Mus musculus: one gene and its partners. Each later gene encodes a partner of the first gene's protein in a complex. Links are inferred from orthologs where the notes say so. Each region holds a gene or a part of one and is shown in the gene's direction. Other genes may lie near its edges.

The links.
Region 2: the proteins of Calcrl (region 1) and Ramp1 are in contact, whole or in part, in a cryo-EM structure (PDB 6E3Y), measured with the Homo sapiens proteins. The link is inferred for Mus musculus from reciprocal best matches to the Homo sapiens genes CALCRL and RAMP1. Residues at the interface, in NP_001258680.1 of Homo sapiens: Asn39, Met42, Thr43, Gln45, Tyr46, Glu47, Tyr49, Gln50, Lys51, Ile52, Met53, Gln54, Thr68, Trp69, Asp70, Gly71, Arg113, Arg119, Thr120, Phe228, Leu231, Ile235, Thr239, Val243, Ala244, Gln250, Trp254, Tyr255, Leu258, Phe262; in NP_005846.1 of Homo sapiens: Trp59, Ile63, Tyr66, Arg67, Ala70, Phe83, Trp84, Pro85, Asp90, Phe93, Leu94, His97, Gly98, Phe101, Arg102, Cys104, Pro105, Ile106, Ser107, Gly108, Arg109, Ala110, Val111, Arg112, Asp113, Pro114, Ile118, Leu119, Phe122, Ile123.
Region 3: the proteins of Calcrl (region 1) and Ramp2 are in contact, whole or in part, in a crystal structure (PDB 3AQF), measured with the Homo sapiens proteins. The link is inferred for Mus musculus from reciprocal best matches to the Homo sapiens genes CALCRL and RAMP2. Residues at the interface, in NP_001258680.1 of Homo sapiens: Arg38, Asn39, Ile41, Met42, Thr43, Gln45, Tyr46, Glu47, Tyr49, Gln50, Lys51, Ile52, Met53, Gln54, Trp69, Asp70, Gly71, Arg119; in NP_005845.2 of Homo sapiens: Trp86, Ile89, Tyr93, Ser94, Arg97, Leu109, Gly110, Pro112, Glu117, Ile120, Phe121, His124, Gln125, Phe128, Ala129, Cys131, Ser132, Leu133, Val134.
Region 4: the proteins of Calcrl (region 1) and Ramp3 are in contact, whole or in part, in a cryo-EM structure (PDB 6UVA), measured with the Homo sapiens proteins. The link is inferred for Mus musculus from reciprocal best matches to the Homo sapiens genes CALCRL and RAMP3. Residues at the interface, in NP_001258680.1 of Homo sapiens: Arg38, Asn39, Met42, Thr43, Gln45, Tyr46, Glu47, Tyr49, Gln50, Met53, Trp69, Asp70, Ser117, Arg119, Thr120, Phe228, Leu231, Ile235, His238, Thr239, Val243, Val245, Lys249, Gln250, His251, Trp254, Tyr255, Phe257, Leu258, Phe262; in NP_005847.1 of Homo sapiens: Trp56, Cys57, Leu59, Phe62, Ile63, Tyr66, Glu67, Thr70, Cys82, Tyr83, Pro85, Asn86, Pro87, Leu88, Gln90, Ile93, Thr94, His97, Arg98, Cys104, Thr105, Val106, Asp107, Arg108, His110, Leu111, Glu112, Asp113, Pro114, Val118.
Region 5: the proteins of Calcrl (region 1) and Adm are in contact, whole or in part, in a cryo-EM structure (PDB 6UUS), measured with the Homo sapiens proteins. The link is inferred for Mus musculus from reciprocal best matches to the Homo sapiens genes CALCRL and ADM. Residues at the interface, in NP_001258680.1 of Homo sapiens: Val36, Thr37, Asp70, Gly71, Trp72, Asp90, Tyr91, Phe92, Gln93, Asp94, Phe95, Asp96, Pro97, His114, Ser117, Thr120, Trp121, Thr122, Tyr124, Thr125, Asn128, Val135, Ala138, Leu139, Leu141, Phe142, Thr145, Thr191, Leu195, Ala199; in NP_001115.1 of Homo sapiens: Cys110, Arg111, Phe112, Gly113, Thr114, Cys115, Thr116, Val117, Gln118, Lys119, Leu120, Ala121, His122, Gln123, Ile124, Tyr125, Gln126, Phe127, Thr128, Asp129, Lys130, Asp131, Lys132, Asp133, Asn134, Ala136, Pro137, Lys140, Ser142, Pro143.
Region 6: the proteins of Calcrl (region 1) and Adm2 are in contact, whole or in part, in a cryo-EM structure (PDB 6UVA), measured with the Homo sapiens proteins. The link is inferred for Mus musculus from reciprocal best matches to the Homo sapiens genes CALCRL and ADM2. Residues at the interface, in NP_001258680.1 of Homo sapiens: Val36, Thr37, Lys40, Asp70, Gly71, Trp72, Asp90, Tyr91, Phe92, Gln93, Asp94, Phe95, Asp96, Pro97, Ser98, His114, Ala116, Ser117, Thr120, Trp121, Thr122, Tyr124, Thr125, Asn128, Thr131, Lys134, Val135, Ala138, Leu139, Leu141; in NP_001240774.1 of Homo sapiens: Leu106, Arg107, Val108, Gly109, Cys110, Val111, Leu112, Gly113, Thr114, Cys115, Gln116, Val117, Gln118, Asn119, Leu120, Ser121, His122, Arg123, Leu124, Trp125, Gln126, Leu127, Met128, Gly129, Pro130, Ala131, Gly132, Arg133, Gln134, Asp135.

What each region holds. Positions count from the first base shown.
Region 1 is NC_000068.7:84,330,893-84,335,129, reverse strand, and holds part of Calcrl (calcitonin gene-related peptide type 1 receptor precursor), read left to right. Parts: intron 1-1,451; coding exon 1,452-1,676; 3' UTR 1,677-4,237. UniProt on the Homo sapiens protein: G protein-coupled receptor which specificity is determined by its interaction with receptor-activity-modifying proteins (RAMPs). Together with RAMP1, form the receptor complex for calcitonin-gene-related peptides CALCA/CGRP1 and CALCB/CGRP2.
Region 2 is NC_000067.6:91,178,115-91,182,874, forward strand, and holds the start of Ramp1 (receptor activity-modifying protein 1 isoform 1 precursor), read left to right. Parts: upstream 1-1,707; 5' UTR 1,708-1,974; coding exon 1,975-2,026; intron 2,027-4,760. UniProt on the Homo sapiens protein: Accessory protein that interacts with and modulates the function of G-protein coupled receptors including calcitonin gene-related peptide type 1 receptor (CALCRL) and calcitonin receptor (CALCR). Required for the transport of CALCRL to the plasma membrane.
Region 3 is NC_000077.6:101,244,697-101,249,009, forward strand, and holds Ramp2 (receptor activity-modifying protein 2 precursor), read left to right. Parts: upstream 1-1,637; 5' UTR 1,638-1,755; coding exon 1,756-1,876; intron 1,877-2,358; coding exon 2,359-2,448; intron 2,449-2,889; coding exon 2,890-2,992; intron 2,993-3,114; coding exon 3,115-3,370; 3' UTR 3,371-3,554; downstream 3,555-4,313. UniProt on the Homo sapiens protein: Accessory protein that interacts with and modulates the function of G-protein coupled receptors including calcitonin gene-related peptide type 1 receptor (CALCRL) and calcitonin receptor (CALCR). Required for the transport of CALCRL to the plasma membrane.
Region 4 is NC_000077.6:6,656,987-6,661,801, forward strand, and holds the start of Ramp3 (receptor activity-modifying protein 3 precursor), read left to right. Parts: upstream 1-1,546; 5' UTR 1,547-1,586; coding exon 1,587-1,641; intron 1,642-2,574; exon of another isoform or gene 2,575-2,659; intron 2,660-3,097; exon of another isoform or gene 3,098-3,250; intron 3,251-4,815. UniProt on the Homo sapiens protein: Accessory protein that interacts with and modulates the function of G-protein coupled receptors including calcitonin gene-related peptide type 1 receptor (CALCRL), calcitonin receptor (CALCR) and G-protein coupled estrogen receptor 1 (GPER1).
Region 5 is NC_000073.6:110,625,809-110,630,595, forward strand, and holds Adm (ADM precursor), read left to right. Parts: upstream 1-1,848; 5' UTR 1,849-2,013; exon of another isoform or gene 2,014-2,448; 5' UTR 2,449-2,470; coding exon 2,471-2,568; exon of another isoform or gene 2,569-2,607; intron 2,608-2,716; coding exon 2,717-2,866; intron 2,867-3,053; coding exon 3,054-3,360; 3' UTR 3,361-4,012; downstream 4,013-4,787. UniProt on the Homo sapiens protein: Adrenomedullin/ADM and proadrenomedullin N-20 terminal peptide/PAMP are peptide hormones that act as potent hypotensive and vasodilatator agents. Numerous actions have been reported most related to the physiologic control of fluid and electrolyte homeostasis.
Region 6 is NC_000081.6:89,321,039-89,325,766, forward strand, and holds Adm2 (protein ADM2 preproprotein), read left to right. Parts: upstream 1-1,681; 5' UTR 1,682-2,095; intron 2,096-2,238; 5' UTR 2,239-2,249; coding exon 2,250-2,362; intron 2,363-2,933; coding exon 2,934-3,273; 3' UTR 3,274-3,693; downstream 3,694-4,728. UniProt on the Homo sapiens protein: Intermedin/ADM2 is a peptide hormone that plays a role as physiological regulator of gastrointestinal and cardiovascular bioactivities mediated by the CALCRL-RAMPs receptor complexes.

The sequences.
Region 1 (4,237 bases):
TTCTTATTACCAAATACAAAGAGATGGTCCAAAAGTTGCTGAACTTCTTAATAACATATTATATAACTGAGTTTCTAGCATTTCACTTATATAGTGTTTGAATTATTGAATAATTAAATAGACATTTTATTAATTAATTTTGAATTATATTTAAGAAATGGGAAACTCCATTTTGACCATGCTTTTTCCATTAATACTAAAACATTAAATAAGACAGGAAAACTGTTTTTATCTTAAGTGGTAGCATGTAAGAGACTTAAAAGTAACCCTAAAACTGTAGTCTCCTATAAATCATTATTGGTTGCAGAATGTTTGGAGAAGGCACAAGAAAAGAAACAAGACAGATTTTATAAAATATTTAATATGGACTTTACACAAATATTTTGAACAGAAAGTTAATTATATACTCTTAATATCTGAGGATGTTAAGAGTATATGAATTACTAGATTTCTTTTTATTCTTAGATTCCTTTGGGTGCAGGCACAAAATATTAGATGGCAGATTGGGAAAATCTATTCAAACAACAAACATCTAGGCAAACATATATTACACCACAGGGATGGGGCAAATATATTATGACCTAAAACTGGCCAGCCTCTACTCAGGCTGTACACAGTTATCAGATCTGTTAGTATAAAGATGATGGCATCTAAGACTCAGCTGACTATTTTCATTTGTGTTTAAGGACTCAGCATGAAGGAAGTCTTTCTAGAGTCCTAATTCAATCAAAATAGAAGTCAGTGTATCTGACACAATTATTCATAATCTTTAATTTCAGTCAGGAAAAAAGGCATTAAACTTCACATTTGTTTTAAGAAAGAAAGCTATGGGCTAGAGGAATTTTAATCCAGCAAAATGACTGCTCTGGCAAGAAACCACATATCCAAAGACCTTCTGGGTCTCTGTGATCTGGCTGGAATGCAAACAAGCCTTTAGTAAATGCCTTTAATCCCAAACAATACAGGTAAGATTAGTTTACAGAAGGAAGCAGTCATGTTTGAAAGAAACATCTAATTGAGGGATAGACAAAGTGATGAACCAGAGAAAGATTTAAAAGACTGATTCAAAGATAGGACATGCCCAACTCTCATGAGAACAACATAGGGAAGAGAATTTAGGGCATCATAAATACGAAGTGAACAACCTACTAAGGAGCTAATTCTCATTCTCTCTCTTTCTCTCCTTTACCTTTTATTTTTATACAAGATATAAGTAAGATACTTAGGTAGGTCTGAGCTTACTTAATACTAGCATGCAGGCAGGTGTTGATCTTGCAGTATTCCTCCTTCAGTTTCATGTGTAACTAAAATTATAGACCAGGACCAGTTTGGTCTTCTTCCTTTAAAGAGCAAAAGCTTTTCTGCCAAACATTTTGTTATGCATCAAATAGAGTATTTTCAGCTCAACTAATGGGTTGTTTTTGCTGTTTCTGTTTATTGTTGATCAATAGGTTCAAGCAATTCTGAGAAGAAATTGGAACCAGTATAAAATCCAATTTGGAAATGGCTTTTCCCACTCTGATGCTCTCCGCAGTGCATCCTACACAGTGTCAACAATCAGTGACATGCAAGGGTACAGCCATGACTGCCCCACTGAACACTTAAATGGAAAAAGCATCCAGGATATTGAAAATGTTGCCTTAAAATCAGAAAATATGTATGATCTAGTGATGTGAAAATATATAAAATCACACACTTGAACCTATGATTTTATAGCCAAAAGATTGGATAGCCAGCAAATGGATTTCTGGAATACCATGAAGAAAGCCCTCAAATGAAATGGGAATTGTATGGATAAATGTTTAACAACCCTCTCTCTATGGGGGAGAAAAGCCTCAATTTATATTGTTGGCCAGTAACTACTCCTACCATAACTGATTTCAAGTTACCAACCTGACATCACTGAATGTGTAATTGGAAAGAAAATAAGCACAAACAACTCCCAGGAGCTGACATGTTCTGGAACCTGCACAGCACTGCATGCCCTCAGAGATGGAAGTCTGTGCACACTCTCACCCACACTGACCAGAACTCTGCTCTTCTCATCTGAGGAGACCTCACTCGGACTTACAGACATGAAAGGAAAGTTTGGTTTTTGTTATAAAACTCCTCATCCTTTTGTCATTTGGTGATAGTGAATGGTTTGTCCAGAAACACTTTAACCCTCTTTATAACTTCTCTTGTAGACTAGACAAAGAGTTCATTATCTCTGTGGTCTCATGTTACTTTCTTTAAGAAAAGCAACTGAGCAGAATTCCCATGGGCTTCTTAGTTGCTGCTACATATTGTTGTATCCTGTGGTATATGCACTCTGAATCACTAGGGAGACATATTGGTAGAAGCTACACCTTGTCAGCTCTCTCTCTCTCTCTCTCTCTCTCTCTCTCTCTCTCTCTCGGCAAGAATAGGAGGAAATCAGTTTTCTGGAATCTGTAAATAGAAACTTTGGCCTTTCCATTTCTACTGTGTAGATAAGTAAGTGATCAACCATTTTACATGAAGGGAATCAATGAAGGATTTCTTTTTATCTTGGGAATCTGAGAGAGAGAGAGAGAGAGAGAGAGAGAGAAAGAGAGAGAGAGAGAGAGAGAGAGAGAGAGAGGTTGTACAAATGAAACTGTAAGTACTCTGTAATTTTATTTTATTGTTTCAATTCAAAACACAACCTAGGTAACTTTTAAAGCAGATAGATGATGCAACATTATATGCAACTTAGTATCTGATACTGTGTCTGGGCTGATTTATTTTATAGTAAAATAGAATCATGAATTCTATACTTGGTAAATATTTTAAGGACAAACAGATACCAGCATCAGAAGTTTGAGAACTAAAAACAAACCCCAGAAATATCAATGATAAGATATGAAATATTTATTTAAAAATGTAAAGCCATAATTTTACAAGCATGATATATTTGGTGTGCTGACATACTGCTTCCAATATGACATATTCCAATTTGATGACAACTCATTCAAATTCAGAAATTATGAACAACTACTGTAAGAAGTGCTAGTCTGCTACATTTGTGGGCTTTAATTCACTAAATTATAGCTTTACTGATTTTTACTAAATGAAGATACATGCTTTTGAAAAAGACCCAGGTTATTATTTTTTTATGAACCACAGAGGAATTTTCTCTATGTAATAACACTGTTTCAGTATTTCAGTAGACTACTGTGGATGATAATACAAGCCACGGGAAGACTTGAACTTACCACTCATTGAGGATGAAGTGTCAGATATTTAAGTAATAATTAAATTAAGACAGAAGAAGATTTTGCTTGTGAGTTTAAGTGACATTTTAAATGGATTTAGTTTTTCCAATATTGCTTGGTTTGGAGTTTCTGAAGAACAAGATTGACTTCAGTTAGTAAAAGTCACTCTGGGGACAGTTACATGAGTCCATGTTTTTTAAAGTGTGTCTGTCAGTTTACAGTGGATGAGAGGAGTGACTCAGCCCTCACTCATTGTCTTAAGCTATAGAAGAGAATAAATTAAAAAGTTGTTTGAAACTGTCAAGGAAAAGAATTCAAATTATCAAGCACTGATGTATTACATGATCTGACAGACATATTTGTAATTTTCTTTTTTTTTTTTCTTTCTTTTTTTTTTATATTTGTAATTTTCTGAACTTTCAGCTGCTTAAACCGTACAAACCTTCCTTTTAATACCTTCAGACTTTAGGTATTGATTATTCATATCTTCGCTGACAGTGTTCGTGTAATTCTGCATTCTTCTAAACAAACTGTCAAGTATTAACAATAAATGGTAGTACAGAATGCCGAATTACCAGAGAACATACTTAAAAGGTATTGTAATTTTAAGTTTTATTATTTTTTTACTATACCGAGTGTAGCTGAGATTTTTTTACTGCCAATATCTACTGTGGTGTCATTCTCAGCCATAGCAGTCTAAGATTAGTCAGTATTAGTTTTGTAATAGTATTTTTGAAGCTGGATTTCTCTAAAGCTGAAGTGCCAATTAAAATATTTCTATAATGCTTGTAGAAAAAAAATCCAAAAATTTTGAAAGAAAACTTCTCTGGTGCCTAAAAATTAACTTGGGGAGTTTTTAGCTTTTAAAAGTTGCATCTATTATTTTTCTCTAATACTTTGTTAGAGTCATGGCTGACACTTTTAGAAGCGACTTTGTATTTTTTTGTTGATAAACCAGCCTTCCTGGAGGTTAGTGTTTTTTCAAATATAACAAACTGTGTAGGGTTTAGGAGTAGTCAGTG
Region 2 (4,760 bases), on another chromosome or scaffold:
CTCAAAGTGGGGTCATGGTTCTAGTATTCTTTGTCCTTTTGTTTTTATAGCCCTGTGTGGCTGTGGTGGTTACGTGTTGCCGTATGCTGTGTGGTCTCGCTTCTTGCTGTCCCGCTCCTTCAGGCTGCCCTGGGACAGCAGCGGTTCTTTTCCTCTGATGCCTAAGGCTAGTCCTGCTCGCTCTCAGCTGCTCTGAGCACAGTTTGTTTCCCTCTACGGTAGCGGAAGCTGGGCTGCTCCAGACTGTGTGTGCACATGCTCTGCTGCTGCTGCTGTGCACTTCAGGGAGTGTCCTTACGTACAGTGTGAAGCCTGCCCTCTGCCTCTCTCAGATGTCTTCCCGAGGCGTTCTCTCTGTTTCTTAGATTGGTTTCTGGACTATGGCTTCCCTCATCCTGCTGAAGTCTGGAAACTTAGTAGGCAGCCCCAGGCTGCCTTGATTTCTTGTTCTCAGGGCTCCCTGAACTGTCTACTGTGGCAATTGCTGAGGTCTGGTTACTTTTCCGTGTATAAATGGGAACTGTATCCACTGAAGGTGTTGTACAGAAGTAGACCTGCTGACTTCTACCTTAATGCCTCTCTCCCTCTGACAGTCTTTTAACGCAGTGTCAGCACATGCCCATGTGAGAGGGGATCCAATGCTGCTGATGACCAGTTAGAAGTGAGCAAATCTCACAGACTGAAGATGCCAACCTGCAGTCCTAGGGCAGCCACACTAAGGCCGGGTGTCAACGAGTTGCATCCTTTCTGTGTGAATTGGGAGAAACTCAGGGCAATTACTGGGGAGCCTCACAGCCTAGATTCTGAGCTGCAGACATGAAAGGAAGGACTGAATGAGGCAGGGCTCAGCTGCTTTCCAGCCATGACTTGCCCGTACTCCCATGTCTGTCCATGAAAGGAGGCTGGCCTCCTGGCAGGGCTTCATAAGGTTCAAAACGAAGGGCTAGCCAAGCCAAAAGAATGTGTTCCCTTCCCCATGTCCCCTTGACTTTAGGACATGTGGGGTCCCCAAGACATAGGTTTATGAACCCCAAATGTCGGCTTGGCCTGTGTTCAGGATGAATACCAGGTTGCTGTTAAGGGTCCTGAGCGCTTGGCCAGAAGGTGGCAGCAGCCTCTAGCCTTGTTCCCCTTGCTGTGAGGAACGCTGCTCACCCACCAGTATTGTAAACCTGAGTGAAGTCTCTGCCAGTGTATGGGGCCAGTGATAGTCTGCTCACCTGCAGCGTGCAGAGTGCAGACCTGCTCAGTTAGTCTGAGCTGCTGCATCCATGACTCTCCAGGTCAGGCCTAGCCTGTACTTGGGGTATCTGCCCCAGGGTTCTCAGCTTGCCGGTGTTACATGGCCTTTCTTGCTCATATTCACACACCCAAGTCTCCCTTACCACTACTGGTCCATCCTGTGTAGAGTCATGGCCAGTAGCCAACCCCAACGGAAGTCTCACCTTTTTACCTAGCAATTCCTTTTGTCCCTAAATTCGGTATTCATGGACTCTGCTACCCTACCCTGGCTTGTCACCACCTGCTGTCAAGCACACCTTTGTCCCTCCAAGGAGCCTTGTTCCCACTGACCATCTTTCCTGAGGTTCCACTTCTTGTCCTACAGACGTTGGTTGTCAGGGCTGGTTTTGGCCACACCACTCCAGCACCCCACGGGGAAAAGGAGATGGGACCACGGGGTGTTTGCAGAGCCCACAGGATAGCTGAGGAACCCAGCCGTCAGAGCGAGGTGCTGAGTTTGGGGACCTGGAGACCCTCCAAGCCCATCCGGCCCTGCAGACATTCCAGGAGGCTCCCCTCTAGTCCCAGCCGCGCTCCAGCCTCAGGTGCCGCCCGCCAGCTTCCGCCCTCGACAGCCGCGGGCGTGGGAGCCGCAGTGGGCCGGGCGCGGTCTCTCCTTAGCTCCCGCCCCCGGCGCGTCTCCAGCGGGCGCAGAGCTCGGCAAGGCGCTGGGACGGTGGGGCTCTGCTTGCCATGGCCCCGGGCCTGCGGGGCCTCCCGCGGTGCGGCCTCTGGCTGCTGCTGGGTGAGTAGCCCGGGCTGCAGCGTTGGTGGTGACCTGGGGCCGGGAGGGCAGCACCTGAACGCACCTTACTCAGGGCATGGGGTCTGGGCAAGACAGTAGAGTGGTGATGGGGGCGGGGGAGGGGGCGCTGCACCACCTTACGCTGCCACGGAGACGAGGTGGCTTGGGCACATCATCCAGCGGGCCATCCGAAGGCATCAGCAACTTTTGATCATACAATGGGCAGCTTGCTTTCCGGGAGGGATAGGGTCGCGGGGTTCCCCTGTCGGCACTTCAGTTCTCCAAACTGATGCAAGCTCCCTGAGCCAGAAGCAGCTTACAGATGTGCAGTCTTCAACCAGAGCCACAGCTTAGGGATCCGGACACTAAGGACAACTGGAAGCCTGACTCTCACCTACAACAGTTGCTGGTTGAGACTATTATTTCCACGGAGGGTGGGAGGCTAGGGGTGAAGGGTGGTTGTTGTTGGCGTGTGTGGCTAATAAATATTAGAGGTGGCAGACTTGCTTGGGATTTTGTTTTAGATTGATCAGAAACTGTAGCCCAGGGGTGACTAACAAGAAACTGCCCATCTCAGTTCCCTTGTCTGTAACGTTCTCAGGACCCGGGGCTGTCATACCTCTTGGACATAATTCAGGTACATAGCTACATTTTAACGAAAGCAAACAAAGAGTCGGTCCAGTGTCCCTGGAAGGGCCTGTGGCTTGATGATTCTTGTGGTCTTTTCCCATACCCATGGTATTGGTCAGAGGCACCTGCTGCACAGGCTCTGGTGGTGGCAAAGGCTGCCCACTAGTGCTGTTTATAGCCAAGGAAGCAGCTTGGGGCAGTGTGGCCTGTCCCCGGTGACTGGGCAGGAACAGCACTGGACACCTACCGTTTGCAGGGCAGAGCTCTCCTGTTTTTAATCCTTGCCAGGGAGTGCCAGATCTACACTTTAAAAATCTGTTTCTGTGTAATAGAATCTAAAGGTGGATTTGCCCCTTATATGTGTTGGCTAAACTTGCGTGAAAATCAAAACCTTATAATAATGTTGCTGTCTTTGGCTATGTTCAGATCCTTTTGGCTTGATGTGAAATTTTAGCTTCAGTTTCCTAAGAGATGAACATTAGCAGCACAGGGAGCTGGTTGGGCCCCTCCCCCACCCCCTTTTATTTAAGAATAAGCAAATAAATTAAGTTTCTTTACTAGTGCACCAGAGTCTGCACCCTGGAAGGCTTGTGTAAATAGAACACTTATGCTTGACCACATGTAAGGACCGCCTGTGTTTACCAAGAAAAGGGCTCTGCTCTCAGTCCAATGACCTGTGCTCTTGACGTAGCCCTGAGCAGTCTGGCTGATGTTATGTCTTGGGAGAACAAACACAACTCTATGAGGTTATCGGTGAATTAATGACTTGGGAACCCAGCTGTGATGAGCGGAATCACTGAGCTCATAGTGTTCTTCACGAGCCCTGCTACTGGCCAGATCTCCTTGGAGATAGACTTTGATATCTTGCATGGCTATGTGGAAGAAAGAGTTCTGTTTTTCTTTAAAGTATAGTAATCTGTAGGATGTGAGATCTTGATCTGGGACGCTTCTATAAACCAGCTGGTTCTTCTCTTAGTCAACCTGCTGGCTTTATTAAGAGTTACCGAAATCCCAGCAGATACGTCTTTTTCTCTTCCCGCTGACTCTCCTCTGTGTGCTGTTGTGTTTACAAAGCATCTCCTGAGAGACCACGTGCACTTTAAAACATTTTCATGCATAACCATCAAAAGGCTCTGAGCTGTCAGGAAAGGCGAGCTGTGGGTACGAGGCAGGCCAGCTCGGACAGCTTTGACTGCTTTGCAAGCTGCTGTTTTTGCAAACTTCTCTTGGGCACAGCAGTGGATCAGCTCTTGGATCGTCTGTACTGGGGAACGCATGCTCTCCTTGTCTGTCATGCTGGGGACCTAGAAGGGGGGTTGGGGATTTGAGACTCCGGACTATTTGTTGAACTATATATAAACTACAAGTGAAACGGACATCCCAGGAAGTCGGTGTGTTGCTGTTTTTATCTGGACACGGTTCTTGTTGTGGAGCCCAGATCCAGGGACTCCAGCTTGCTAATTGAATCACTGTGTTTACTTGCCATCAGTGTGAGCTTGGAGACAGAGTGATTCTTTGGTGTTTGTCCAGCTTCCCTGCATACATGCTGGGTCTGTGTTCAGACTGTCAGTCCAGCCCAGGGCTGCAGACCAGTTTTTCTACCCATGCTAGGTTGCAGTAACATAGGGGAACATTTTAGATGCAATCCTCACTTGGGGCAAATGACTCCTTGGAAAAGTCTCCTGTGATTTCCTCACACATACCCCTGAACTAACCAGTTTGATAGTTTCTGTTCAAATCCAAACTGGCATCTGGGAGAGTGTGTGACAGGGACGCCACATGTGGTATGAATCCCAGTGAAAGTGCTGAGCCAGGGAGTGGCTCCCCAAAGGCTCACCCTGCCGCACCCCTCCTTTCTGAGATTCCATGTGTCCTGCTAGGCTGTACCCTCACTAGAGCTCTGGCTGAAGCCTGGTCCCTGGGATGCTCGCAGGCTGCACGGTCAGTTTTCTGCTGGAGCCCCGGAAAAGGTGGGTCAGTTTTTAGGGTGATCTGAGTGCCAGTTGCCAGTGGGCAGCCTGCAAGCCACAGGCTTTCCATCCTGTGAGAGAGGAGTGAGAGAAACAGATGCGCTCCTCATAACTCTTGAGCCCCAATTGGAATC
Region 3 (4,313 bases), on another chromosome or scaffold:
TTTCTGCTCTTGTACAGGAGGAAGTTCAGTTCCCAGCATTCATATCAGGTGGCTCACACTCCCCTGCAACTTCAGCTCCAAAGGACCCCCGTACTCTACTCTGGCTTCTTCAGGCACCTGCACACACACATACATATATGTGCACCCACACAAGGTGACATACATTAAAAAGTATTTAAAATGTAAAGAGTAAAAGGGCAATTCTCTGAAGAATTCTTCCATTCTTGGTCCCCAGTTTGAAGTGGCTCTGAGGCTACCTGGTTCTCTGCACCTCTGATCCTTACCAACAGAACTTTGAGGTGTTCAAAGGGCTACCCCTACCCCTTATAGCTGCCTATAATTAATTCCAGCTGCCTGTGGCCAGCTGGAAGTCTTGCAATGCTTTTTTTTTTTTTTTTTTTTTTTTTAAGGGAGGACCATAAAAGATAACTTTGGTGGACAGGAATCAGTAAACTGGGACAACAGCAACAGCTGAGTTCAAGGGTCAATGTCTGGGAGTAATTGGGAAAGTTTTGCGCTGACAGCTGTGTGCCTGGAGTTGAAAAGTGCGGCCAAACAAGCCCCTGGGCTAATTCAGGCTAATGGCTGGCTGGCCCAATATACAGCAACAGCTGAGTTGTGATAGCTGGCAGGGTCCCTGGGGGCCCAGACTGAGCCTTTGGGGCTTCCCAGTAAAACGTGACCTTAGCCAAGTCACTCAGGAAAGGAAAAAAAGAAAACCGGCTTCTCTTTCCACAAAGGAGATTCCTCCAGAGCAGGAGGAGAGCAAGGTCCTAATAGTGCATGAGAAAACAACGGACAACCGTATAAGACTCCAAGGCTGTAGAGCTGGGGAAGGTAGATTTGGGAACAGAACTTTTCAGTTCAAGTCCTGGGGTCTCTCCTTGAGCTTTAGCTGCCTCCTCCTCTATAAAATAGGTGATGGTGATAATATGCTTGCTTGCCTTGGGGCTGAGGTTCCAGGAGCAGCAGCAGCAGCAACAGCAACCACCACAGCAACAACTCACCTCAAACACTAAGAAGCACATTGGAAGTTCTAGTATCTCCCTTCGCTCTAGCAACCTGGGTAGCCATTTTCCTGGAAATGTAGTCAACTTACTTTTTGCACTCCAATATCAGGTTTGTGGGTAAAGGTCTCAGAATTTACATTGAAGGGGGTTTATTTAGACTTTAACTCCTCCCTACCCTGCTTCTCAGACCTTCTTCCTTTCTCAGTAGAGCCAGGCCCCTCTCCTCTCCGGATTTTGGCAGACATCAGTGGGTGTTCCCTGGGAAAAGAAAGTGGGGCGGGCGCAGCTCTTGACGCCGCTTCCCCCAAACTCCCCTGCCTCAGATACCCAGGCATCGGAGGCCTTTGGAGCTCCCAACTGCCTCCTTCTTCCCCAGGTCTGGGACGGCAGCTGGTCCCCACCCCTCCGGTGCGAGAAGGAGTGAACGACTGGAATCCTTCGGCTGATGCTGGGAGACTTGAGCTAGTCCAGGGAGGGAAGTGGATCGCAGTTCACGGGGTACAGGGGGAGCTGTCCAGCCCCGCAGCCCGAGCTGGAAGCGAGAGTGGGCCAGGGCGCTCCGGGCCGAGCGAGGCGCGGGTGCGGCAGTGACTCCCCCTGCAGCCCGCCCCCCACGTGGCCGCCGCCGTGCCAGCCCCTCCGAGGAAGCGGCGCAGCTTCCTGCGGCTCGGGCCGGGGATATAGGCGCCCCCGCCCGGGCCAGCTCAGCTCCGCTGCCCCTCCTCGCCATCTCACCCAAGGCGTGATGGCCCCGCTCCGGGTAGAGCGCGCCCCGGGTGGATCTCGGCTTGGTGTGACCCGCGCCCAGCGGCCGACAGCGTTGTGCCTCCCTCCGCTGTTGCTGCTGCTGCTGCTGCTGCTGGGCGGTGAGCACCGTGTCGGGCCCGGGTGGGAGATGTGGGAGGTCCGGGAGGGGAAGGGGCCTGGGACATCGAGGCCAGCACGGGACCACCCTGCGAGTACCAATCGACGTGCGGAGCACCTCTGAACTGCAGATGGGTCCTGAATACATCTCTGGGTTGGCGCAGGCCGGCTACTTCCCACTTAATGCTGCTTCCTACTTAAAAGCTGGGGTGCCTGCCCAGACCGGACGGAGAGGTCTTAGGAGGTTCAGGACTGATAAAGAGGGAGGGGGCTTTGGACCAGGATGTGATTGGGACGCAGCTGGTACCAGCCGCTCCCTTCCCTCAATAGGATAATCCCATGGGGGAGGTGGGGAGATTATTCCTCTTTATGTTCCAAAGCAGTGCTGACTTCCCAGGGCCTTGGTCACTACCCGTAAACAGGCACCACTATTCAGACCTCTCCCCACCACTATTCAGGCCTTTCCTTTCATTTCTTTATACAGCTGTCTCAGCCTCTCCGGAGTCCCTGAACCAATCTCTTCCGGAGTCCCAGAATCAATCTCATCCCACTGAGGACAGCCTTGTGTCAAAAGGTGAGTGCCTAAGTCTGTGGGAGAGTGACCTAGAGGGAAGGATAAACCCAACACGGGAGGAATCCTTTCACAAGACAACCTGAGGACCAACTGATGCCCTCTAACCTCTCTGGTGTCTCTTGGGGTTCCTATGGTCTTTCTCCCTACCACACAGGCCAGTGTCTTGCCCCAGTTGGGTAAGAAGGGCAAGACTGGGTGTGTGTGGATATGCTTTCAGGGCTAGGAAAGGAAATTCTATGCACATGATTGCCATTACAGGATCCCTGAGGCACTGAGTCCTGAGAGAGAATGCTCCTCTTAGTCACGAGTGTCCTGCTAGGGAACTTTTCAAAGGGGATTCCCTTCTCTGAAGGCAGAGGACTGTACTTTGGAAATACCTGGATCGGAAGGCTTGGAGGGAAGGTCAGGGGTGTGGTCTTTGTGAAGCCTATGTCCCCACAGGGAAGATGGAAGACTACGAAACACATGTCCTACCTTGCTGGTATGAGTACAAGAGTTGCATGGACTCTGTCAAGGACTGGTGCAACTGGACTTTGATTAGCAGGTAGGGGCAGTGTTGAAGGATGGATGGCTCAGGCCAGGAGTTGGACCTGTTCCTTGTGGGCGGGAACATCCTTCTCCCTGTGCCCATCCATTCCCTCACTCAAACCCCCTACTGCTTCCCAGGCATTACAGCGACCTGCAGAACTGCTTGGAATACAATGCAGACAAGTTTGGGCTGGGCTTCCCAAATCCCTTGGCAGAAAACATCATCCTTGAGGCTCACCTGATACACTTTGCGAACTGCTCCCTGGTGCAGCCCACCTTCTCTGATCCCCCAGAGGATGTGCTCCTGGCCATGATCATAGCCCCCATCTGCCTCATCCCGTTCCTTGTTACTCTTGTGGTGTGGAGGAGTAAAGACAGCGATGCCCAGGCCTAGGGTCCATTTCTCAGCAGCCATTTTTCCCCCCTTTTCCCTGCTGGAACCAGGAATGGCGCTCCTCCCCTCCCTACCCACTTACTCTCATCCTTCCCACAGACCTGTGGATTGGTGGAAATGGCAGCAAAGGGGACTCACGACACAATGTTTGTAGTCTTTAAAATAAAGTTATGTTTTTGTACAATATTGCCTTCCTAGTGGGGTCAGTATGGATGATAGTCCTACAGGGCATCATTACTGGGCAACAGAGCTTGAAGAATCTAGATGGCCCTGCTGTTCAGTTCAGTTCAGTTCACCTGCCCTCCGCCTCCACTTGAAGGCCATGTTCCTATACTTTTTCCTCCCAGGGAGGGGCCTTTCCTGCAGCTATCCAAACCCAGCTCCAGGAAATGAGCAGGAAGAGACTCCCTTCCGGCCTGGACAGCAGCTGGGGGCCTGTAGTTGGGAAGGTGTGGGAGGAGGGGCAAGAAAGCTCTACAGTAACTCCTGCAAGGAAGAAAGGCTACCCGGGAGCCCAGTGTTGGCCTTTCTTCGTGCCTCGGTTTACTCTAGAGCTAGAAAGAAGAAATATGATTACCAACAGGAATTAATCCGTACGAATCTCAGGCTTGAGGCTGAAGGCAATGGGGCTGGCGGGTGGGGGGTGGGGGGAGATTCCTTTACAGGATTCTACTGTTCCCCCTCTAGTAGGTTCCTGGCCTTTATCCCACATTGTCTAAGAGATCCATCATGGCCACACACTGCCCCCTGGTGTCCGCTAAGATCAACAACAAGACAACGTATAAAATCTAAAAGAAGTAGCCGGGAGTGGTGGCGCACGCCTTTAATCCCAGCACTTGGGAGGCAGAGGCAGGCGGATTTCTGAGTTTGAGGCCAGCCTGGTCTACAGAGTGAGTTCCAGGACACAGAGAAACCCTGTCTCAAAACAAACAAACAAACAAAC
Region 4 (4,815 bases), on another chromosome or scaffold:
TCATTGCTGACGATAGTCAAGGTGGTACAGAGTCTGCCTTCCCGTTTCTGACTTCAGGTTGTGGGACAATCAGCCCTCTATAAGAGCAACCTGCTGGCTTATCCTTTTTGTCCTGATTAGCGCCCCCTCCCCTTAGCACAGGGGCAGGGATAATGGCCTAGATGTTGGCCCCTCTTGAAGGAGGATGACTGACCAAGTTAAATCAGTTTTACTTTTAATTAGACTCCTTTGTTATTGCTGTAGCAAGCCCAGGCTTCCTAGGTTCTCTTTGCTAACTGGTTTTTAAAAATGCTATTTTTTTTAATCTTTAAGATTTCTTTGGTTTATATGTATGGGTGTGCACAATTGCGTGCGGCACCCTCAGAGGCCAGAACGAACTGGATCCCATGGAGCTGGCGATACAGATGATCATGCGCTACCTCCAGTACCTGTGGGAACCAAACCCAGGTCCCCTGTAAGTGCCCTTAACCACTGTGACATCTCTTCAGCCCTAAAGTAGTTACAGGGTTTTGTTTGTTTATTTGCTTGTTTGTTTTTGTTTCTGGCTTCGACCAGAATTTTCTCAGTGAAAATTCACAGAAAGTTGTAGTGAGCCTTTCTAGGTCAGGAAAGGTGAGCTGAGCTCAGTGATGGGGCGTGGGAGACAGAAGTGCTTGTTTAGGTGGGGAAAGCCATCCTCCCAGGTCTGGGCCTTAGCTCTCAGACCAGCAAGTGCTTTCCTGGGGGACAATAAGCTTTGGAGGACAAAGAGGTCTGCTTTTCTCTTTCTGAGGAGTGGTCCCAACATTGGGAACAGGAAGCTGTCCTGGGCTTGAGGGACAGATGTAGTCTATGGTGGGAGAAACTGAGGCCTTTTCTTTTCTTTCTACCTGCTGATTCCAGAAGCCAGGTCCTTGGAGGCCCCGTCACTGACCCGCCTGCCCTCAGTTAGCTTCAGACTTAGCCATTTGTGTTTGCATGTGTGCACACCCAAGCTCCCCTCCCCAGTGCCTCAGTCTGGAAGAATGCCCCCCCCCCCCCCATCTGCTCAGCAACCCACTTCATGCCCTTCTCTGTCCCTTGGAGACAGGCAGGGCTCTCAGACTTGTCTCTGCTTAAATTTATGTGCCTGGCTTAGGGGGGTCCCACAGGACCTGCAAGGATGAACCCCGGGTTTCTCCGAGTTCAACCTCTTGTCTGTCTTCTGCCTGGCTCCCCTCTATCAACCTGTACTGCATAACTCCCTTCATTTCTCCAGCTTGCTTCCCAGTTTGACACTGAGGTTAATCCGGCTCATCCCCAGACCAAACCTGCAGTCTTCCGGTTAGAACCCCTTCTCCATTCCCGCCACGCTGGACTGGCTCTCCCACCCGACTGCACTTCCCCTTCCTCTGTTCCAGTCTATATCCCAACGCGACCCCCACCTCCTGTCCCCACCACCTGCCCCTCCAGAGAGAAGCTGAGAATTCTAGGCAACGGAGGGAGTCAGGGGCGGGGTGGGGGCGTGGCCTGGGTTGGGGCTCTCCGAGGTCCCGCCCTGGTCCCGCCCCAAGCCTCTTACCTCCGAATGTCGCTGTTGCTGCAAGCCGGCTGCATCTTAGTTGGCCATGAAGACCCCAGCACAGCGGCTGCACCTTCTTCCACTGTTGTTGCTGCTTTGTGGTAAGGAGACATTTGGGTCGGGGTACTCCATCTCCTCGGGTCCTTGGGACCCACGCGGACTCTCTCCTTCCCGCGTCCAGCCTAGGCTGCGCTCTTCCCCCCCCCCCCCCCCCCCCAGAGTTTGGAAAAGACACAGGCACGCTGACTCCAGCACATCCTGCAGGTTTTGTGGAGGGTCTTCATAACTCCTCCAACCTTAGAAGAGCTGAGGGAAAAGGCTTTGAGCTGCAAGGGCTGCACAGTTCCCTGTGGGGTAGAGATATTCTGGGGTCCAGGGAAGGGTCTTTGGTGAGGTAGTGAGTTTCTTTCCCATCCTGCCCCGGGCACATGGCACACAGGTGCAGGTAGCTAGAATCCTTTTCCAGTGAGAAAATCGGACTCAGGGAGAAACATTGCTTTCACAAGATAGAAATGGGATAAATATTAAGCTTGTTTTGAAAGGGGTGTGGAGGGAATAAAGTTAGTAGGGAGACATATTAAAGGAGCCTGAGGGAGTTTAATGGGGCGGGGAGAGTAGGAGTGGATATGCTCAAAATACTTTGTATACATATGTAAAATTTCAAAGAATAAAAAGTGAAGTATCTTACTGAAGAAGTTACCCAAGGATAAATAAGAGGATACATGTATGTGTATGTGTATGTGTATATGCTTGTGTACACACATGTATGCATGTACCTGTGGCTCTGGGTGTGCCTGATTGTATCTGTGTGCCTGTGTGGGCATGTGTGTGCATGAGTGCCTGTGGAAGGGTTTGATAGGAGAGGGCTTGCTGGGCAAGGCCAGTGCTTGGCTAGAACTGTGAGGGAAGCTGTTGGCAGGAGGGGGCTCTGTCCTCCAGGAGGAGGGGCTCTGTCCTCCAGGAGGAGGGGCTCTATCCTCCCTCCAGGTGGAGGGGCTCTGTCCTCCAGGGCCATGGTCCCGAGTTTTCCTTACTCTCCTGGTTCAGCCTCCTTGGCTGTAAGATGAAGTTGGACCTGTTTGTAGTGTCTTCCTCAGTGTTGATGACTTGGGATGCGGTCTGGGAGTTGGGACAGAGGTGGGCCAGACTCAACAATTAGTTCTCTCCCTTTGAAGAGGTCTCTGCTTACAGAGTGAGACCATTTTTCGTGTTCTACAGTGGGCGCTCAGGCTGGGGTAGTTTTATGTTGAAGGCTGGGACTGTGACCACCTCCAGAAGGCAGTGAGCTGTTTTGGGATTTCAGCAAGCCTCCAGTGCAAGGCTCCCCTGGTGAGGAGTTTGGTTTCTAGAGGAAGGAGGTCCAGAGTTTATCTGGAAGGAAACCATGTCTCTCCTGACTGTTTCTAGTATGGAACTGGGAAGCAACACAGACAGAAACCTCATGAAATTGTAGCAATCCTGGTCCCCAATGGCCACCTTTCCATCCTACTGTGGAAGTCCCCACAGTCCCCAACAGCCACCTCCCTATCCTACTGTGGAAGTCCCCACTGTCCTCACCCATGGGACCAGGCTTCTTAGTGGCCGGTCAGGTTCAGCCTTCTCACAGACCTGGCTACAGTGAGTCTGGCCAGCCCGGGAGTCAGAGATGAAACATGTACTGTCACACGCAGTCTGGCCAAGGTGGGGTCTGAGCTCTGCAAGGGATGAGCTGAGCTTCCTAGCTCCCAGGAACGCTGACTGCCACCTATGCTTTGTTGACACTGTGATGTCTGGAACTCTAGATTCTGAGCCTAGTCACTGTAGAGAACAGCATCAGGAGAGCCTTTGTTTCCAAACAATAAAGGTCTCGGCCTGTGGGGCTTCCTTGAAATTCTAACGTACTCTACAGGGACACTTTGATGCTTCTCAGGGTCCTGGGATGAGGAGTCCAGCAGGTAGGTATCCACCTATTGGCTCTTAGCCTCAGTTTCCCTGTTGTTGGCCTGAGTGTAGCTGTGGAGTGCTGCTGTACGGACTGGCTTGAGTCAGTTAAGTTTGGCCCAGTCACTCTGTGGTGGAGCCGAAATGCTCATGGAAAAGCAGAGGCCGCTCCTGGTATATGTGTTCCTGTCACCATGAGTGAGAGCACCCGGGATCTGTGTGTGCACGCATGTGTGCGCGCGTGTGTGCCCACATGTGTGTCTGGGAATGTGAACACAGTGCCCCAATTTTTATCATGAGTTATATAGTAATGCGCTCTGCCTCCCTGTCACCTGTCACACTCACCTTGAGCCAAGCAGGTGGCAAGCAGTGCTGGAGACCTAAGGTCTTGAAGAAGGTGGTTTGTTAAACAGAATCTTTAGTACTGGAGCTGCCTTGGAGGTCATTTGGCCCATTTCCCGGATGGGGGTTCAGGTGAAGGGAGAGAACTGCCCTAGAGACTGCAGCCCCCAGTGCCAGCCAGCCACGGCCTTTGTGCCCTAGAGACTGCAGCCCCCAGTGCCATCCATCCACGCCTTTGTGCCCTGGAGACCGCAGCCCCCAGGGCCAGCGTTCATGGCCTTTGCGCCCTAGAGACTGCAGCCCCCAGTGCCAGCGTCCACGGCCTTTGCGCCCTAGAGACCGCAGCCCCCAGTGCCAGCGTCCACGGCCTTTGCGCCCTAGAGACCGCAGCCCCCAGTGCCAGCGTCCACGGCCTTTGCGCCCTGGAGACTGCAGCCCCCAGTGCCAGCGTCCACGGCCTTTGCGCCCTAGAGACCGCAGCCCCCAGTGCCAGCGTCCACGGCCTTTGTGCCCCAGTCTGTTGATGCTTATTTCCACAGAGGATGAAGGCGCCTGGGTTCATTTCCAGATGACTGAAGACAAAGGGCCGTTCTCTAGGAAATGCATCTGTCCGGCTGTTTATCATCTCTCGGCATCTGGAAGTCACTGAGACAAAAGATGCACGGGGCTGAGTGTTCTTTGTTTCGGAACAGAGCCATCCAGAATGGATTTCTACTTTGATTTAGTTCCTGAGAACTTTACAGATCAGCCAGTAGCTTGAGTGGCGGTGACCCACTTTCATGGAGTCCCAGGGGTCAGGGTCTTTACTCAAGACTGCTGTTATTTTGGGTGGGTTGTGGGGTGGCGCTGGAAGCCCTTTTAGCTTTGTATGCATCTGAAGTGATGACTAACTGGGGTCCCCTGGGAGGGCACTGCCTGTGACCCTGTGCTTGTCTAGTGTGGGCCCAGAGCATTTCGAAACACTCCTGATCAGGGCAGGGAAGTCAGCAGGTCTGCTTGAGGGTGGCACACAG
Region 5 (4,787 bases), on another chromosome or scaffold:
CCACAAGTTGGCAACAGGTATGTTGCATCTTCAAAGAGACTGACAGCTGCGCGGTATCAACAGACAATCCGGGGATGAAATGAAAGGAAGGGTACAGAACGGGACAGAAGCGAGAAAAAGTTCTAGGGTCAAGTTCTAGGGTTCTGTGCTACATGTGCTGCTTGGTGCAGACAGGCTAGCCACTGGCCAGGGCTGCTGCGGTGACTGTCCCACGGCCCAGAAGGCCCTAAGGCGGGCCAGTTCGCCTAGCTGCAGCCCTTTCAACATCCGTGTCCCAAGCCCCTACCAGAAGCAGAACCTGGGAATCTGTCCCCTGCCCAAGGGGGAACTCCGTTTTGCAGTTTTAGGAGGATAAGTAATCTCGGCGCGGCCATTTCTCCCCCAGGTGCAATGTCCATGGTTGTCTGGAGGGTGACAAACGGGCTGAACCAGCAGTGCTTAGCATAGTCTGCGCTGTGAGCAAGGTCCGCGGGACAGGAATGCCTAGTCGGTTTTGCTCTTGGTCTAACACTTAGAGGCAGATAAGGTAGGACACTGGGAGATCTGCCGGGGTCGCCAGGAAGAGGACATGAGTTGTCTGTGTCCACATCACCAGGGCTGGGGGCTAGGAGCTGTCGTAGGTCATGTCTTTAGCTTCGGGACCTTCCGGGAGACCTGCATGCGGAGCTACGCCTGTCGCCCAGTTTGGCCCTAGAAGGGAAGAAAGTGAACTCACGGATCTGTGAAGAGCACCAGCCCGTGGCAAACGTGTTCGAACTGATTCATCGTGAATTAGCACATATCTCTGGGCTAGGCGGGGGCCGGCATTCTCCCCCCACCTGATGAGAATGGTGACCCCAGCCAGAAAACCGAGCCGCTGTGCCCCAGTCTTTTGAGTCCAGACTCTACAGCTTCCCACCTTTAGTGTGACTGGGCAATAGACTTACCCTTTCGGCACTTCACTTTAATTCAAGAGAACACCAGCTCGGGAGTGTAGAGATCAAAAGCGATTGGGATCTGGCTGGGATTTGTCAACTGTAAAGTGATTAACATATGTGAGGCATTAGTGTGCTCCCAGTCAGTCAATCCTCACGTTTATGATGGATGAATGAAGGCAGTCAGGTCAACTCGCAGGTCATAGCCTTATAAGGGATAATAGTATCACAAGGAAGAAAACAAAACTATCTCTCTTCCTAATTTTGGCTATTCCTGTATTTCCAAATAGGAATGTGAGTTCTGAATTTTCAGATAACTACCCTCTCCAAACCCCAATTTCCAATTCAGCTGTTCCCAGTTCTGCCCTTATTACGAAATCCGTACTGGCTAGTCTATCGAGAAACCCCTCAGTCCCAGTCACTGGAGACTGAGCCTCTCCCTTCCAGGTGTACCCTGCGGGCACAGATGGGGGTCGAGGCTCAGTCAGGTGCTAAGCCGGCAGGGGGCGCGGTCCATTTGAGGTCACAGCTCCCCAAGTCCGGGGTTTTGGTTATCCATGTGTCCCACCCGTCTCCCGGTTCTTGCAGCACTGTCCAGGAAGCTCAGATCAGCACTCTGGGTTGTACACATTATGGGCAAAGGATTCACCCCACCCGAGTTGTTCTGGTTCCCCTTCCCTTCTCACTGTTTGAACTCTATGCTGGGAAATTAGGGCAAGGGAAGTCCTGCTCCAGTCTAATCTCTCAGAGCGGATCTCTGAGATGTCTAGCCACAGGGGACCTCTTACCCCTACCCCCCATACCCACAGGCAAGCTGCAGGGCAGGTCTGGTTTTAGAAGCAAGCACGCTGGAGAGGGAGGACTCCAGGGCAAATCTGACCACGCCCACCGTCCGCCCCTGAGCGCTTATAAGACGCTGGAGCTGGTGCTCACTAGTCAGTGGTTTCTTGGTGACACTAGACAGAGCAACTCCAGCGTTACCGCTCCCGCTCCTGGTTTCTCGGCTTCTCATCGCAGTCAATCTTGGACTTTGGGGTTTTGCTACTGTCAGAAGGACTTCTTTCTGCTTCAAGTGCTTGACAACGCACCCCTTTATCAGGTAGGAACCGCTGGCCTCCAGCATGTTAGGGAGGGGGACGGCTTTGCCAAAGCCCCAAAACTTGCAGAGCTGGACAAGGGGGAACAACCCACTTTAGGGTATCCAATGTAGAGAACACCTCATTGCCCAGGTCTAGCTCATGCGCACAGCTGGAGCTCTCTTGAGATCCCCCCTCCTCCTTGGGCTGAGATCCTGGGACTTTAGTTGGAAACCTCTGGAAGCCTGGCACTTCTCAATGGCTTCCTTTGCCTTGCTTGTCACCCACCCGGCCAGCGCAAAAATCTCCGGTGTTTCTCTGCGCCAGTGGGGGAGATAAGCAGCTGAGCCAGGAAGAGCGCTGCCAAGCGGCTCCCCGTCCTGCCGCCACCCTTCGCGTGCTGACGGGATCGTGCTGCTGGCCCGGTTGCTCACACTCGGTGTCTTGTTCCTTTCCAGGGTATCAGAGCATCGCCACAGAATGAAGCTGGTTTCCATCACCCTGATGTTATTGGGTTCACTCGCTTTCCTAGGCGCGGACACTGCAGGGCCAGATACTCCTTCGCAGTTCCGAAAGAAGTGAGTTTGGGCCGTGCTTTCTTTCTTCACTTTGAATACCTGGCAATGAGAGAAAACTGAGAGATGGTCTGGAGGTGTTACAAAGGGAGTGGAGCTGGCTGGGACATCACTTGAACTTAGGCCAAACGCATCTGCTTGTGTTTTCTAGGTGGAATAAGTGGGCGCTAAGTCGTGGGAAGAGGGAACTACAAGCATCCAGCAGCTACCCTACGGGACTCGCTGATGAGACGACAGTTCCTACCCAGACTCTTGATCCATTCCTGGACGAGCAGAACACAACTGGCCCCCTACAAGCCAGGTAACTATGCTCTCTGCAGAGGATGTGCCCTCTCCACTACTCTGACCCTGGGGATTGTCCTGGCTGCACTGCAGCTGAGGCTCCGGCGGAGGGAACGGGTTCCAGGTCCCTCGGGTACTGCATGGCTCCGGTCCCAGGTGGTTGGGACCAAAGCCCCGGTTGATGAGGTGTCCTTCCTTCTTCACAGCAATCAGAGCGAAGCCCACATTCGTGTCAAACGCTACCGCCAGAGCATGAACCAGGGTTCCCGCAGCAATGGATGCCGCTTCGGGACCTGCACATTTCAGAAATTGGCCCACCAGATCTACCAGCTAACAGACAAAGACAAGGACGGCATGGCTCCCAGAAACAAGATCAGCCCTCAAGGCTATGGCCGCCGGCGCCGGCGTTCCCTGCTGGAGGTCCTCCGGTCCCGGACTGTGGAGTCCTCCCAGGAGCAGACACACACAGCCCCAGGCCCCTGGGCGCACATCTCCAGACTCTTTAGGATATAGGTGCGGGTGACAGCATTGAACAGTCGGGCGAGTATCCCGTTGGCGCCTGCGGAATCAGAGAACTTCGCACCGGGGCGGACTGAGACAATCCTGCAGAGATCTGCCTGGCTGCCCCTAGGGGAGGCAGAGGAACCCAAGACCAAGCCAGGCTCATGCCAGAAACCGAGACTTACAGGCTGATACTCTCCGGGCAGGGGTCTGAGCCACTGCCTTGCCCGCTCATAAACTGGTTTCTCACGGGGCATAAGCCTCATTACTACTTGAACTTTCCAAAACCTAGCGAGGAACGTGCAATGCTTGTTGTCCAGCCAAAGGTAACTATAGTATTTAAGTTTGTTGCTGTCAAGGTTTTTTTTTTTGTAACTTCAAATATATAGAGATATTTTTGTACGTTATATATTGTATTAAGGGCATTTTAAAGTGATTATATTGTCACCTTCCCCTATTTTAAGACGTGAATGTCTCAGCAAGGTGTAAGGTTGTTTGGTTCCGTGTGTGTGTGTGTGTGTGTGTGTGTGTGTGTGTGTGTGTAAGGTGGAGAGCGCCTGATTATCGCCTGTGGATGAAGAAAAAACATTGTGTTTCCTATAATCTATTTACATAAAATATGTGATCTGGGAAAAAGCAAACCAATAAACTGTCTCAATGCTGATTCATTCTCGGTTCATGCATTTGGGGAAGGATGGTGGTCTGGGTTTGGGTCGGCCTGGAAGTGCTGAGATTCTGCTTCTTGTTTTGGGAAGATTGAACTGCATTGTGGGTGCAAAGCAACCTCTCTAAGCAAGGCTTACCTGTTGTGAGCTCTGGTGTCCATGTGGATGCACAAAGCGCGTGTCCTGGGAGGGAGTCAAGAGTTCTCTGAGATACCCGAGTTCACCTCCTTGCATGGCAACCAGACCGGGTAGGGTAGGGTGAGCCCTAATAGGCGAGCCTGGGCTCCTTAAGTTGCGCAATATACTCCCAATTTTATAGGGTTGCTCACTGGACCTGAGCTAAGGCGCTCTTTGGAGACTTAAACTGATATCCAAGGCTTTCTAAGTAGAGTTTATGCTCCAACTGTGGGTGTTAAAAGCTACCGGGGGTGGGGGACCCGCAAAACGTTCGCACAGCAGCTCTGGGAAACCCTCAGCTAGCAGCCCAAGTCTTCACTGGGCCCTGACGTCCATAAGCGGGGCTGTAGCGCCCCCTGCTGGCCACCATGCGTGCTCCCCCAAAGAGCGGTAGAGTAGTACGTGCGGTTTAATAAGTTCTTCTACGTGGGAGTCAGCACATAGTCTTAATGAAAGAGGAAAGAAAGGGGGGGAAAAAGCAGTTTGCAGATGCCAACTGGGCTCCCCTCCCTTCGTCTTCTCCCCCCTTCCCCGACCTGCACGCGGGCTTGCTGTGCAGGGGCAGTGACTCAGCGCCCACACGCTGCGCGGCGAGCA
Region 6 (4,728 bases), on another chromosome or scaffold:
CTGATCTTCAGCTTTCTTGTCCCTCCCCTTCTCTGCCTAGTTTCCCTGACCCATCTGTCCTGTTGTCTCTACATCCCTTCCTTCTGACCTCTCTAACACCTGCCTCAGCCCCAGGCTCACCTGCTTTGGAGGGGTCACATTTTGCTCATTTTTGAAGGGGTTGTAGACGCAACCCAGGGTCTTGAACACATAGAAAAGCACTCTACCTACCACAAAGGTCCATTCCCCAGCCTTGGCTTGCGGGGGGGCGGGGGGGGGGTACGGGGTTGGGGGGAGAGGAGCAGGGTTTTGCTATGTAGCCCAGACTGGTCTTAAAACTAACTAACAATCCTACCTCTGTTTCCTGATGCTGGTGTGCACCACCATGCTTAGCACACTGCTCTTCTGTAAGTCTGACGAAACCACCCTTCCCACAACTGATAAGAACAAGCAATTGGGTGACTCTGCTAATATTTTTCTCAGAGGGTAAAGTAACATCTTCAGCATGGTTTGCACTGAAGACTTGTATATACGCATCCGGCAAATGCTTACTGAGCACCCGTGTATGTTCAGCAGGAAGGACAGAGTGACCAAGTCCCGGGGAAGCCCCACAAAGGGACATAGTGAAATAGAAGAGGAAACACAGAGAGTTGAAGAGATGTTCCTGCAGTCAGAAAAAAAATAAAAAGTGCTTCTGATAGGTTTTTTTGTTTTGAATAGTTTTGTCAGGCTGACAAAGATGTTAAGAACTAATGTCACAGAATCCACGGTGGATGGTGGATTGGCACAATCATTGTGAAGAACAATTTGGTATATACCGCATGTGTGTGAGCTTCCAATGGTAGGGGTTTTAATTGTGGAAAAATCTGAAAAAAAAAAATCACTGGAATATAGATTAACCAAGGACCTATGGTATGAATACAAGCAAAACCCAACAATATGTTTATGAACATGTCATAATAAAATCCATAATTCTATATGCTAAAGATTAACAAAAAATAAGTCAAAAGGAGACATATCAAAGCATGAAAAAATAAAAATTAGCGTTAAAAAAAAAGGCTGATTGCTGGGATGGTGGTGCAGGATTGTAATCCCAGCTATTCAAGAGGCAGAGCTAGGAAGACTTCAGGTTGAATTCCTCCCTTGGTGACAGAGGGAGTTCAGGGCTGGCCTGAGCATCTTAGGGAGACCCTACCTCAACTAAGAAGGCAAATAAGGTAACAGAGGATGTAGCTCAGTGGTGTGTGCTTGAGTTGTTCACTTCCCAGTGGGAGGAAAAAGCTGATAAAAAAAATAATAAAGCAACTCACAGAACACCTGCATACTTTCAAGTATGCCCAACCCTAAGAGTGCCTTTATGTTAACACACCACACACACACACACACACACACACACACACACACACACACACAACTTGCTTGTGCATGCGTGCATAACTCATGCAGAGAATACTGTGTGCAGAAAAGAGCAACGACTCTGTCACCCAGAATATTGCTGTGGCGGGGTCTCTCTTTGTATTTGTATTACAGTATTTGGTAATGAGGAGCAGCCTGCCTGGGAAACAGGCAGACCACGGGAATCTGCCATCATCTCCTGGGGATGCTGGGCAACCACAGGTGAATGCCCTTGTGGCCAGAGCACAACTCCCTACCTTAGCACTCACCTGCCTGGTCGACCATTTGGCTCCACTAGTCTCTGAGACTTTGTCGCGCACCAGAAGGTACCAGGAGTGAGGGCAGTAGCCCCACGGGGTTTCTGGTCAGCTGTTGAGCATTTCCCAGCAAGGATGGGCCCCTTGAAGTGACCTCCTGTGGCTCTACTGCTTTCTGCTGGGCAGGAGTAGCCACCAGGAGAGCGTGGCTACCGCAGCCCACCCGGGTGGAGGACGCTCCGCCCCATCAGCGTCTGGGCCACGCCTTTAGCTCCAAAGACTACTTAGTGCTGGAAGTGCTTCCCAAACTGGTTTTCCGCTGGACCCCAGAAGGCTCTCTTTCCTAGGAGACCACGACCTGACCCACAAGTTCCGTTGCGTGCTCTGGGAACTGCTAGCAGATCCCAGCTTTGCCAGCTGTCTCCAGATCCTGAGACCTGTGCCCCGACAGACAACAGACGCAGGTACCAACCAATCTTCCCACATTCCGAGCGCCCGGGGGCAGAGAAGGGCTCCCCAACTGGTGGGCAAAGAGGGTTGGCTCCAGGCCAGAGTGGCCCACCTCCTCCACCCCATTTGCTAGCTTCACTGCATTCTTGCTCCACAGCCCAGCCCGCCATGGCCCAGTTGCTGATGGTCACGGTAACCCTCGGTTGCATCAGCCTCCTCTACCTGCTCCCCGGCACGTTGTCTGGCAGCCTGGGCAAGGGACTGAGGCACTCCAGACCCAGGTGAGTACAGGGTTGGACCGAACTCCTCAGGGGGAACCTAACTTTTCTAGAGTTCATCTCCCAGCTCAGGGGCCACCCTCCACCTTTAGTGTTGCCTGAACAAGGCAGGAGAACTTTTTTCTTCCTTTGCCTCTTTCTACTTGGGGTACTTATTCCCCCACCCCCACGGATACAATTGACATTGAGGTCTGCTGAAGGAAGGGAGCTCAGAGATTCTCAAACCTGCTGGCTTCTGACCACATAAGGGAAGAACCCGGGGTGGGGGAATGGGGGTCTTTCTTGGGGACCTTTGCCCAGAATGGTGTTGTTAATGGTACATGTGACTTGGGCTACTGAGATGGCCAAGCTGCCAGTAAGCCCAGAAGGATGGTGGGCTCCCCTTCCCAGCCTTCAGGTTGGAGACCAAACTTTTGGGCTTCCCCTGGTCCTGGGCCAGGCTTTTAGGGAAGCTGCGGGCTTCCCCTGCCAGTGCCCTCGGACTGTGAAGAAGAGAAGTAGGTGGTTTTAAAAGGCTTTTGGAAGGCTCCACTAGGCCACTGAGTTTACTACATCTTTCTCTCCCCTTCTGCAGAGAGCCCCCAGCTAAGATTCCTTCCAGTAACCTGCAGCCTGGACACCCTTCCCTTCAGCCTGTAGTCTGGAAGTCTCGTCGTCATGCCCCCCAGCCACAGGGAAGGGGCAACAGGGCCCTTGCTATGGTTCATCTGCCTCAGGGTGGTGGCTCACGACACCCTGGTCCCCAGCGTCCCACGGGATCCCGAAGACCCCATGCCCAGCTCCTGCGGGTTGGCTGTGTACTGGGTACATGCCAAGTCCAGAATCTTAGCCATCGCCTGTGGCAGCTTGTCCGGCCAGCTGGCCGGCGGGACTCAGCTCCTGTGGATCCCAGCAGCCCCCACAGTTATGGCTGAGGTGGGTCCTAGGTACTCCATCTGGAGTGCTGTGCTCTGATCCCAGAGCTGCAGCTGAGCTCCATACCTTGGCCCGATTCTCTGGAGCTCCTGCTTGTAGCCATTCCTCGTGGCTTTGGATACCCTAAACCTATGAGGATATGTGGATCTAGGCTGTAGAATCTGCACCGACAGGGGCCTGCGCATCTCAGAACTGTGTACACTCAGGGTACAGGTGCTTGGAAGAAGTGCTGCCAATATCATAGGCCACCAAGAACTCGAGGAGGCGTGTACCTAAAGAAATGGGCAAAAGCTAGAATCTTAAATGCATCTCTACCTATGAATAAGCAGGAAGAAGGCTGGAGTGACCCCTGTGACCCCACCCCACCCCCAACCCCAACCCCAACCCCACTGGGAATTAAAGTCTGACTGTGGGCGAAAGCTGTGGCCACTCTCTTGTGCAGTTTACCTTTCTGTATCTGATCTGGAACAATGACTTTTTCCATTCGTGAACCGAGACAGGAGGGGCAGAAAGAAGGGCTATCTGGTGTGGTCCCTAGAGTCAGTCAGAAAAGAGACCTCCAGTGGCTGTGGGTAACCTGGAGTCCAGGCCAAAGCGGTGATGGAGACTCCTGGGCATTCTGGAATAAAATACGGCAGAGACAACCCTTCTTACCCTCAGACCAAGGCAGGGGATAAGACAAACCTTATCTCTTATTGGCCCATCTCTAAACGGTTGAGTATGACCTACCCCTAAGCAAGAGATGGTGACACACAGCAACCTCAGCACTCTGAAGACTGAGACAAGAGGATGAGAAATTCATGACCAGCTTAGGCTGTGTAGCAAGATCCTATCTCAAAAACTCAATCAACAAAACTACTCCAAATCAGGGAAAAATAAACAAAGTCAAACCTACCTCAGGAAACCAACCAACCCAAGCCTACCTCAGGAAAGCTGGAGGCATTTAAACAAGGTGGTCTCTGCAATCTGCCCACCCCCATCCGATGAGGACATCCGGCATAAACAGTAAGATAGTAGAGGCTGACAGGCATATTCCTCTGTTCCTAGCTGAGAGATCAAGAAAGGGAAATTGGGTGGCTGGAGAGGTGGTTAAGAGCACTGACTGCTCTTCCAGAGGTCCTGAGTTCAAATCCCAGCCACCACATGGGGGCTCACGACCATCTGATGCCCTCTTCTGGTGTGTCTGAAGAGAGTGTCAGTGTACTCACATACATAAAATAAACATTTCTTTAAAAAAAGGAAAGAAGAAAGAAAAGAAAGAAAGAAAGAAAGAAAGAAAGAAAGAAAGAAAGAGAGAAAGAGAAAAAGAGAGGAAGGAAGAAAGGAAGGAAGGGAGGGAGATGGACCATAAATAATAATCAAGAGGAGAACCAAACCATCTGGAATCACAAGTTCAAGACCAGCCTTTGCTACAAAGACTCTGTTTAAAACAAAACAAAACAGGTTGGGAGGAA